Linked DNA regions of Canis lupus familiaris. The protein of the gene in region 1 purifies or fractionates together with the protein of each later gene. This does not show direct contact. Links are inferred from orthologs where the notes say so. Each region holds a gene or a part of one and is shown on either strand. Other genes may lie near its edges.

Evidence for each region.
Region 2: the proteins of PPP1CA (region 1) and ERBIN purify together in Homo sapiens (affinity purification with mass spectrometry; 3 studies listed by BioGRID and IntAct, counting the BioPlex papers as one, with this or other methods). This does not show direct contact. The link is inferred for Canis lupus familiaris from reciprocal best matches to the Homo sapiens genes PPP1CA and ERBIN.

What each region holds. Positions count from the first base shown.
Region 1 is NC_049239.1:50,564,305-50,569,763, reverse strand, and holds PPP1CA (serine/threonine-protein phosphatase PP1-alpha catalytic subunit), read right to left. Parts: upstream 3,160-5,459; 5' UTR 3,064-3,159; coding exon 3,009-3,063; intron 2,484-3,008; coding exon 2,352-2,483; intron 2,196-2,351; coding exon 1,965-2,195; intron 1,409-1,964; coding exon 1,304-1,408; intron 1,108-1,303; coding exon 884-1,107; intron 801-883; coding exon 666-800; intron 589-665; coding exon 478-588; 3' UTR 345-477; downstream 1-344. Other genes in the region: TBC1D10C (carabin), read left to right, coding at 4,338-4,582, 5,331-5,430. UniProt on the Homo sapiens protein: Protein phosphatase that associates with over 200 regulatory proteins to form highly specific holoenzymes which dephosphorylate hundreds of biological targets.
Region 2 is NC_049223.1:50,842,290-50,847,791, reverse strand, and holds the start of ERBIN (erbin), read right to left. Parts: upstream 3,229-5,502; 5' UTR 3,207-3,228; intron 1,755-3,206; exon of another isoform or gene 1,661-1,754; intron 1-1,660. UniProt on the Homo sapiens protein: Acts as an adapter for the receptor ERBB2, in epithelia. By binding the unphosphorylated 'Tyr-1248' of receptor ERBB2, it may contribute to stabilize this unphosphorylated state.

The DNA.
Region 1 (5,459 bases):
TAAGCCCCCATGGACCTGAGCCTATGGCTGGGATTGCCCTAGCTGGGGCCCCATGCCCAGCATGCCTATCCTCCCAAGCAGCCCTGGACAGAAGGGCTGCCAGGCCCAGTATTTGGGACAAGGGAGACAGAGGCCATGGCGAGAATCCAGCTTTGACCTTTATTCAAGAGACCAGATGGGTTGCCCCAGGATCTGTCGGCCAGCCCTGAGGCCAAGCAAGGCTGGAAACCCACATCTGGCCCTGCTTTGCCCTGAGCTGCAGCCTCAGCCCCAGGATCCTGCTTGCCACCACTATAGCAGGCGGAAGGGGCCCTGGGGGATTGGACGCTGCTATTGATTCATTAAAAAAAAAAAAAAATACACCAAGGCTCCGTGTTCCCCGTGACAGGTGGGCCTGGGGGGCCAGCGTGAACCCCCTATGGCCACGTAATTTCTGTACAAATCCACCATCTGGGGCAGAGTGCGGGCACGCGGAGGCTATTTCTTGGCTTTGGCGGAGTTGCGGGGTGGGGTGATGGGCCGGCCTCCAGGGTTCAAGCCACTGAATTGCCCGTATTTCCCCTTGTTCTTGTCAGCGGGCTTGAGTATCTAAAAAAGACAAGAGCTGGTCAAACTCATGGGCTAAGCCACAGGGTCACCAGCCCCCCTCCTTCCCCCATCCCAACCTGGAAGGAGCACATGAGTGTCTCATCCACACTCATCATGGCGCCTGCATTGTCAAACTCGCCACAGTAGTTGGGAGCCGAGAAGAGAGTCACCAGCTGCCGCTTGGCAAAGAATTCATAGCCATCTTCTACCACCTGGATGAGGATGGGGGCAGTTTGTTCAGCAGGTGCTGGCTACCCAGGCCCCACTCCCACCCGCCCCAGAGCTGCCAGCCCACCTGGTGTGCCCGGCAGATGAGGTCCAAGTCGTGCTTGTGCAGGAATTTGGCCACTACCTCAGCCCCAAAGGTAAAGGAGACACCACGGTCATTCTCGCCCCAGCCCTGCACGTCCTTGTCAGGGTCAGACCACAGCAGGTCGCACAGCAGGCCCTGGTCCGGCACGTCTGTAGGCCGCATGATACGCCGAATCTGCTCCATGGACTGCAGGTCTGGGGACAGGCCTGGGGGAGGGCAGGTTACTTGCTTAAGCCTCAAAACAAAGAGTGACATGCAAACCAAGACCACTGGGAGAGGTCTTCCAGGTGACGGGGAAGACATCCTCCAGCTAACAGCCTCATCCCAGGGCTCCCCGGGATGTGGCCCAGGGCTCTTCCTTCCCAAAGAACCCTTCAACATGTACCCTAGAGCCACTCTCACCTCCATGGCAGCAGAAGATCTTCTCATCCACGATGGCAGCAATGGGCAGGCAGTTGAAGCAGTCAGTAAAGGTCTTCCACAGTTTAATATTGTAGCGTCTCTTGCCTGCTGGGAGGAAGGAGATGCCTCATGAGGCCTATCTGCCCCACAGCCAGCCTGGGTCTTGAGGCCCTCCAGACACAGCTGGGAGAAGAGAATGGCAGACAAGAAGAGAATCCCCCCTCCCCCGACTCCGCTGCCTACCAGCCTTCCAGGAATTCTAAAGCAGCTAGGTCCAGAGGAACCTGAGTTCCAATCCGAAACAACCCACCCGCACCCAGTGAGCAGGGCCAGGCCAAGACTAGGCCTGGTTTATCTCAGCTTCTGGTTGGTAGGATCCAGTCCAAATAGGCATCCCAAGTGCCTAATGGATGTCCTGGAGGGGAGTGTCATGAGGCAGGGCCCTGCATTAGAACATGGGCAGTCCTCAGCAGTCACTCCCCAGACCCCTCCTGCGTGCCGGCCCCACGGCAGGAGGGCAGGCAGAGAGGCACCAACTGGTGTGCACCCTTCGCAGAGCTCGCGGTCTGTGGGTAGTGGTCAGACACCAATTCCCCTACTGCCAGGCCTATGTGAGGGTCTCCCCGAAAAGGGAAGTCACTTAAGGACTTGGGCTACTCACACTCATCGTAGAAGCCATAGATGCGGTTGATGCTAGCACACTCATGGTTCCCACGGAGCAGGAAGAAGTTTTCGGGGTACTTGATCTTATAGGCCAGCAGCAAGCAGATGGTTTCCAAAGACTGCTTGCCCCGGTCCACGTAGTCCCCCAGGAAGAGGTAGTTGCTCTCTGGAGGGAAGCCACCATACTCGAAGAGCCGCAGAAGGTCGTAGTACTGGCCATGGATGTCACCTGTAACCCAGGGAACCGGTTCAGCGCTAGGTGCAGGGGCTACACTTGAACCCAGGGCCAAGTTCGGGCTCCAGGGAGCAGCAATGCAAGGACTGGGCGGGGTGAAGTGGGGATTCCACTTTCAGAAAGCCAAAGGGATCTGGGCAGCAGACTCACCGCAGATCTTGAGGGGTGCCTCCAGCTCCAAAAGAATGGGCTGGCTCAGGAAAATCTCCCGTGATTTGAGGCACAGACCACGGATCTCGTTCTCTGTTAGCTGTACATTCTTTCCAGGCCGCGAGCCCTGCACTGTGGGAGGAATGGGGTGTCAAGACTCTGGTCCCTCAGGCAGGAGGAAGGTGGGCGACACAAGTGGCCCTATGGGCACATCTGAGGGCGCCTGGGCCTCCTAGGCCCCTCCCTGCCTAGGGGCAGCTGTTGCTGGTGAGCCTCCCAGGACCTCCGCCTCTGGCCTCCCAGGATGGGACCCCCTCGAGGGGGTGTGCTGTGCGCGGGGGCCTGCCACCCAACACCCCACCCATAGCGCAGGACCCCTGGGAGGGGTGGAGCTAGGCTTCTTAGGTTTCTCCCTCACTCCCAATAGCGCAGGCCAACCCGTGCGCCCCCCGCCCAGGAGGGGGGCTGCTCCCCGTGCCAGAGCGTCCCCGGAACCCCCCTCCCCCGGCGCGCCGCGACTCGGGGGGCGGCTGTGGCCACGGGACCTTGCGGCCCGTCCCCGCCCAGTCTAAGCTGGCCCGGGGAGGGGCAGGCCCGCCCGCGCACCACTTCCGGGCCAGGGCGCGGCGGGCACCGACCTCCCCGGCCCCGGCCAACCTTCCAGCAGGCGCCCGATGATGGAGTCCAGGTTGAGCTTCTCACTGTCGGACATGGCGGCGCCGCCGCTCCGCCCCAGCAGCTCCGGGCCCGCTCCTGCCGCCCTCCCTCCCGCCCGCTGCCTCCTTCCGGCCTGGCGCTCCTTCCGCCCGCCCCGGCCCGCCCCGGCCTGCCGCCCCGCCTCCCCGGCCCGCCGCCCCGCCCTGCGCGCTGCCCCCGCGCTCTAGCGCTCCCGCCGGACACCGCGCGCAGCGGCCGCGGCGGCCCGGGGGGCGGGGCATAGGGGACGGGGCGGGGCTCGGGCTGAGCTCGGCCGTCGGGACGGAGCCCGGCCGGTGGGTGGAGCTCGGAGGGCGGGGTCGAGTCTGGTCCCGCCCCCGAGGAGTTACCCGAGTCCAGTTCCGAGAATATGGGGCCGGAAGTGCTGTGGGAGTTGTTTGTCTCTGTCAGACGCTAACCCACCCCCTGGGCGGGAGCGTGGTATGAGCACATTAATAACCGATGCTCCAGACACTGCGGATCAAGTCCTCGAAGTGCAGAAAAGGAAACGGAGACTCAAGAGATAGCAGGGGGGTGGGTTGGTCCAAAACCCTGGCCTCACATTCACGGGGGGCCTCCACCTCCTGAGTCTCTGCGGCCCTCAAGGCAGCTGGCCAGACCCAGGCACCTGCCGCGGCGCTCTGAACCCATCTTGGTCCACGCTGTGCTGCACGCTGAACTAATTTTTGTAAGTTCCGTTATTGCCTGCTGAGTGCATAATAACGCTGCGTTAGGTATATATTCAAAGCATTACTTGTAAAGAGCAAATATTAAATAAACGAGAATTCTCACTGGAATCTTGAATTGTTTTAACCTCAAAACTGGAGGGGCCTGGCCTCTGTAACTCGGGTGGGTCCTGGACTGGTCACACCCTGCTCTGGAGCCCAAGCCTGCAGCCACCCAGCCCATGGGGAGGGTGGGAGGAGCCCACGGTCCTGGGGGCACTGGGGCAGGCCGGAAGAGCCTCAGAGAGGAAGAGGTGACCCCCCCACACACTTGGGAGGGGAGTGTGGGAGGGGCCCCCCAGCCGGTGGCTGAAGCTGCTGAGAAGGAGGAAGTGAGAGGAGGAGGTGAGGTGCAGCAGGGAGGTAAGCTGGCCTGGGGGGGCAGGGGCTGGGCCTGGGGACCAGCCTCTACACAGAGGTCTGGCTTTTCTGCCATTTCAAGGCTCACTCTCACCCTCACCCTCCCACCCCGATAAAAGAGGGGACAGAGGGGGCTTGGTGAGATGCCCTGAAGTCTGTGCCCTCTGAACCCTGCAGCCAGGTCCCCGGGCTGGGGACCGGCTGGATGGGAGCTCAGGCCCCAGGCTGGTCAGAAGCTGCCTCTCACACTGGCTTTCCCCACATCTTGCAGCCTGTGGTAGCTTGGGTCTGGGGCACCATGGCCCAGGCCCTGGGGGAGGACCTGGTACAACCTTTCGAGCTGCAGGATGACTCAAGCTCTTTGGGGTCCGACTCAGAGCTGAGTGGGCCTGGCCCATATCGCCAGGCTGATCGCTATGGCTTCATTGGGGGCAGCTCAGCAGAGCCAGGGTAAGTGGGGAAGGGATGAGGGGCAGTGGGGTGCTGGGAGTGAGGATGGGGGTTGAGGGCTGAATTCTAGAGACAGGCTCAACTCCTAGGGTCCTAGAGGGCCTGGGGACTCAGCCAGTGTCCCTACTCCTCATGTTCCAGGAGGAATCCTAAAGCTGGTAGGGCTGCGGCAAGAGTGTCCCTCATGTGTCTCTTTGACTCCCAATCTCCCAGCCTTTGCACCTATCCTTGGGGCCAGATATCCTTCTGCTTTTAATCCCTGCCATGATAATCCCAGAACCAAACCAAAGAACCCACACCTCTATCCCTACCATCTTCCTTTCCAGATATACAGACAGGAAAACAATTCCAGATAGGAGCTTGCCCAAGGTCACACGGCAGATCAGATAGAATCAGGTTCAAACTCAGGACTCCTAGCTTCTAGCCCTTGGCTCTGGCCACCTGCCTCTCTTATGAGTTGTCTGTGTTCCTGTCCTGGAGGACAGCCACCTGGCCCCTGCCCTCCCCCAACACACACCTACACACCCCCTTCAGCCTCTCCTGCTTCTGCCCACATCAGAGCCACATTTTCTCCTGTCCCTATGACAACCACTGGCAACTCCTGGGTGATAGGTTACCCCCCACCCGGGGCTCCCTAGAGATCCCCACAACCAGGAGCTGAGTTTACCCGGGTAGCATGGAAGGTGGCAGAGGTGGGCTCTGGGTGAGAGCCAGCCAACGCCTCGATGCCTGTGCCTTGTGCCCACAGGCCAGGTCACCCTCCTGCAGACCTTATCCGCCAGCGGGAGATGAAGTGGGTGGAGATGACCTCACACTGGGAGAAAACCATGTCTCGGCGGTACAAGAAGGTGAGGGGACAATGGGACTCTTCAGTCAT
Region 2 (5,502 bases), on another chromosome or scaffold:
TTATAGTTAGGATATACCTACCAAAGGATGCCACACTTCTTTAACATTTATTCAAAAGCACAGTATTAGGTTTCACCTACTTTACCAAAGTACTGAGAGAAAAAAAAAATTAAGACACACTAAAATACCGATTAAAAAAGCTATTTGTGTTTGTTGTGAGCAAAGTAGTTTTTTCTACAAAGACTACCGATTGGCTCAGAAGTGTTTATAACTCCGACTGGTGGGCTGTCTCCCGTGCTTCACTAATTCCTGCCCCCACAGGAGGTCCCTGTGGCTTATTAGACAGAACCAGCCAAAACCTTAGGACCAAAACCTAAAACCTACAGAGACGTAAGGAAAGTACTATTCTAAAGGGACAGATGTTTGTTATAATCAATACGACTCCCACAACGATCCCTTTAAGCATTTCACTTCCCTCTCTATACATTCTGTTCTCAACTGCAGAGAAGTCTTAACAGATCAAACTACTCACGGCTGTATTTTTGTTTTTTGTTTTTTCTTTTTTCACTACAAGGCTGGGCGACCTTAACGCTCACTCTCTCCTTCTCCTTCCTAGGTCAGTTAACAAGAAACATTGAGCAGAAAACTTGCTTTCGATTCATTGACCAAACAAGTATCATTAGGGTTGTAAATGTCTGAAAGGAGCCACTTAACTGGAGAAACAGATCACTCACCTAAAATTTACAAAAAACAACACAACAGGGAAGACTCAGAAGGGCAAAGTCTGTGGATAAAAATCCAACCAAAGACGTTTCTAAAGGTTGCAACTAGAAAAATAGAATGAAGTAAAATAAAGTAAAATAAAATGAAATAAAGTAAAATAAAATAAAATAATAAAGATAAATAATAAAGTAAAATAAAATAAAGGTAATAAAGTAAAATAAAAGTAAAATAAAATAATAAAGATAAAATAAAAAATAATAAAGTAAAATAAAAAAGGTAATAAAGTAAAATAAAAGGTAATAAAATAAGTAAAATAAAATAAAATAAAGTAAAATAAAATAAAAAATAATAAAGTAAAATAAAATACAGGTAATAAATTAAAGTAAAATAAAGTAATAAAGTAAAATTAAAGTAAATAAAAAATAAATAAGATAAAATAAAGTAAAATTGAATTAAATAAAAAAATAAAATAAAGTAAAATTAAATCAATAAAATAAAATAAAGTAAATAAAATAAAATAAAATAAAATAAAATAAAATAAAATAGACAAAAATTAAGGCAAAAGTCCCATAGCCGGTAGCAGGACCCACAACTGCGGCAGCCATCTCAACGACGGTAAAGCCCTCGCTGCAGGGACCTAACTTTTTCCCCCCAAAACAGAAGTTGCCGGGTTCAGCAACTTCCCTGATGCAGAAGTGCACACACCGTATAGGTTTTGGGGAAGTCGGCGTTGCGGAGCGGGGCGGCACAGAGGACCTGCCGCGCCGGGTCTCGGGGTCTCGGGGTCTCGGGGTCTCGAGTCTCCGGCCCCGGGTCCCGCCGTTCCGCCGCCGGCGCCGCCTCCCGCCCGACCCGGCTCGGGGCTGCGCGGGGCTGGCGCGGGGCTGGCTCGGGGCTGGCGCGGGGGGCGCGGGGGGCGCGGGGGGCGCGGGGGGACCCGGGAGCTCCGGGCTCGGGCTCGGGCTCGGGCTCGGGCGCTGCGGCGGGAGCTAGTTACCTGTCGGGGCGCCGCTCAGGGCCGCTCCCCCGCCGCTCCGCCCGCCATGCTCCGCTCCCTCCCGGGGCGCCCGGGCCGCGGCCGAGCGGATGTGCGGCGGGCCCGGGCGGCGGCCGGCGGCGGCGGCGGGGGCGGGGCGGCGCTCCGGGGCCGCGGGGCAGGGCCGTCCCAGCCCGACCGGGATCTCCGCCGAGCAGGAAAAAAAAAAAAAAAAAAGCAAAAAAAAAACTTTTCACTCGTGACACCGCCCGGAATCACGGCGCGCAAGTGCGTCCCCGCGGCGGCGGGCCCGGGCCGGGGGCCGGGGGCCGGGGGGTGCAGGGGGGCGCGGGGGGCGCGGGGCGCGGGGTCCCGGCCGCGCTAGGCCTCCGGCTCCGGGTTATTGTCTCGACAGCGCCCGCCGCGCCCTCCGCCCGCCGCCGCCCCGGGGCCGCCGCCGAGGGGCCGGGCGAGCTCGCGGGCGGCCCCCGCCCCTCCCCGCCCCGCCCCTCCCGTCCCCGGCCGCCGTCCGTCCGTCCGTCCGTCCCTCTCGGCGCCGCGGCGGGCGGGCCCTCGAGCCGCGCTCTCCTCCCTCTCCCGGCTTCCCGCCGCCGGCCCCTCGCTCCCCGGCTCGCGCTTCCTCCGGGCGGCCGCGGCGGGGGCGCCCCCGGGCGGCGCGGGGGGCCGCGGGGGGCGGGGGGGCGGGGCGCGGGGGTCCTCTCGGGCTCGCGGGGCCGCGGCGGGGGCCGAGGCTGCGTCCCGCGCCGCCGCGCCACCTTCGCTCGGGCTGGCGAGCCTGCGAGGGGCGGGAGGGGCGGGGAGGGGGAGGGAGGGAGGGAGAGAAAGGAGGAGCAGGGAGCCGGGCGGAGGGGAGTGCCGGCCTCGCAGGCCGCGCGGCAGCAGCAGCGCCACCGCCACCGCCCCGGCGGGCAGGGGGAGAGACTGCGCGCGGCGGGGCAGGGGCGGGGCGGGGCGGGGCGGGGCGCCTCCCGCGGGCTTCGCCCCCCCGCCCACGGCCGGGCAGGAGGCCTGCGCGAGCCAGTGCCGGCGCGCGGGGGCGGCGGGGGCGGAGGCGGGGGCGGGGCGGGGGCGCGCGGGGGGCGCGGGGAGGGCCCGGCGGCGGGGCTGCGCGCGCGAGGCCCAGCTGGGCCGGGACCCCAGCTCCTCCGCGCAGCCGGGGCGCCGAGCCCCCCGCCCTCCCAGCCGCCTGGGCCCCGGCGCACGACGGCCCCGGGGGCGCGGGGTTCAGGTCCAGCCCCGCTCGGCGGGCTGCAGGTAGCCCCGCGCGGCCCTCCCACTTCCTCTAAGGGCTCGTCGCGCTGCAGGAAACCGCAGCGGCGGCCGGGGCAGCTTCCCACGCCGGCCCCTCCGGCTCGGGGGCTCCTCCGAGTCTCAGCCTCGCACGCGCGAGGAGACAAAGCTGGCGCTGGGGTGGGGGGAGGGGGGACGGCCCGCGAAACGGCCTCAGGATCGTGCCTTTGTTCCGGGGAGCGCCCCCGGCCCCCCGGCCCCCCGGCCCCCCGGCCCCCGGCCCCCGGCCCCCGGCCCCGGCGCCGCAGCCCTGCACCTCGCCGCGCGGGCCGCGGTCTTCCAGCCTGGCACGGTTTGCGTTTACTGCGGAGCGAGACTCCTAAGCGTTCCACCAACACATATGGCAGAGAGCGCTGCGACCATAACATTGCACAGTTTTTTGCAGTCACTGCCTTAAATACGTTAACAGACAGGACGGCCTTGTTCGGGAGCAGGAGCGTAAGAGACGCGGAACAAACCGTTCCCCGCCCCCAGCCTCCGCGGCGCGGAACCCTGCCGGGGCGCCGAGGAGCCGCTGGGTCCCCCACGCCTTTGCTTCAGTCCTTCCGTCTGTGTTCCAGAGATAATCATTTATTGCCAAGTTTGAGTAAAGAACCGTATGCCCTATAGATAATGTTTGGCTTGCATCCAAAGGAAGGAGTTCATAAAGTCCATCGAAGAATTGATTGTTCACCGGGGTGAGCTGGACGCGAGTGAAAACGCTTGGAATCACTCCAGAGGTGGTCAAGACCGTCTGGTTAGTGTCACAGCATTTTCGCTACTTGCAGAGCTGCTGGAATGAACGCAGGTAGTTCTTTAGGGCAAGAGCAGAAGTTGAAGGTTCCCAAATAGCACCAGGGCGCTCAGGCTGACTCAGTCCTGCACTGGAGGTGGGAGAGCGTAGAACTACGGCTGCTTGGAAACGAAAGGACAGCCAGGTGTAATAGTAACTGACACCGAACCAGTTAAGTCACGTGACTATGAATCTTAGCCATTGCCTAAAATCTTAAGGTTGGTGTATTGTTTAACTGCTATTTTTATTTTTTTTTTTTTGATTTTTTTTTTTTTAATTTTTTTATTTATTTATGATAGTCACAGAGAGAGAGAGAGAGAGAGAGAGGCAGAGACACAGGCAGAGGGAGAAGCAGGCTCCATGCACCGGGAGCCCGACGTGGGATTCGATCCCGGGTCTCCAGGATCGCGCCCTGGGCCAAAGGCAGGCGCTAAACCACTGCGCCACCCAGGGATCCCCATTAACTGCTATTTTTAATCTCACAAAAAGGATTGCCTGCTCCCCTTGCAAAAACTGGCTTCGGTCTGACCAAACTCCGTAGCATAGCCCTGAGCTGGAAGGGTCACCCTAGTGAAGAAGCCCCAGGATGGAGTGTCTCCCCATACCAGCTGCAATCTGGAATTCCAATGTTGTATCTGGTCTCAGGTTACTTCAAGACCCCTTTATTTATTTAAGATTTTATTTATTCATGAGAGACACAATGAGAGAGGCAGCGGGAGAAGCAGGCTCCACGCAGGGAGCCCAATGTGGGACTCGATCACTGGTCTCCAGGATCACACCCCAGGCTGAGGGCAGGCGCTAAACCGCTGAGCCACCCAGGGATTCTTCAAGACCCCTTTAAATGTGGCATCATAGATTCCCAAACCTAAATAATAGGACCAGACCAGTCCCTAGGTTAGGACCTGTACTGACCCTGGCCTTATCCCCCCCACACACACCATCTCCCCCTATTTAAACTCCTCCTTGGGGACCCATCAGCTGATTACCACTTAGGCTGGAAAACTTTCTCTAACCAAAACCCCTCCTCCAGCTCACCTAAAATTTTGCTGCTGGAGTTTAATCCCTTTGAGTAGTTTATTTCCCTAGAACAAAGCTGTAATCCTGGGAAAGGTAACATTTAAGCCTTATTAGTCATTTATACCTAATTCATCAGATTGTTTCCCCAAAGCAGCTTTTGATGGCAGGGAATATAGAGATAGCATATGCCGATGCTGTCAAAATAGGAGTGGGAAGGGCAGCCCAGGTGGCTCAGCGGTTTGGCTCCGCCTTCAGCCCAGGGTCTGATCCTGGAGACCTGGGATCCAGTCCCACGTCCGGCTCCATGCATGAGGCCTGCTTCTCCCTCTGCCTGTATCTTGGCCTCTCTGTGTGTTTCTCATGAATAAATGAATAAGATATTTAAAAAATAATTAAAAAAATAGGAGAGGGAAATGTGGTTGCATTCTTTGGGGAAATATATGGAGAGAAGTACAGACAATAAAGTGCTTCCCCATTTGATTGTTAAATGAGTCCCACGTGGGGCAAGAATGAGCCCCAAAGCACTGACTTTAAGAGGCCGGAAGCCAGGATACACTTAGCAATATTACCTATTTTGACAAATATTCTTTCATGATGCCTTTGCAAAGTATCTTCAGCAGGAATTGTGTCTGTGCTCATACAGAAGGGTGGAATGACAGCTGTATGATCAGGGTATCCAATAATCAGGAATAATGATTCATCTTTGTTATTCATCACTGACTACTCAGTTCTAACTCATATGAGCACCACATACAGATAGAGC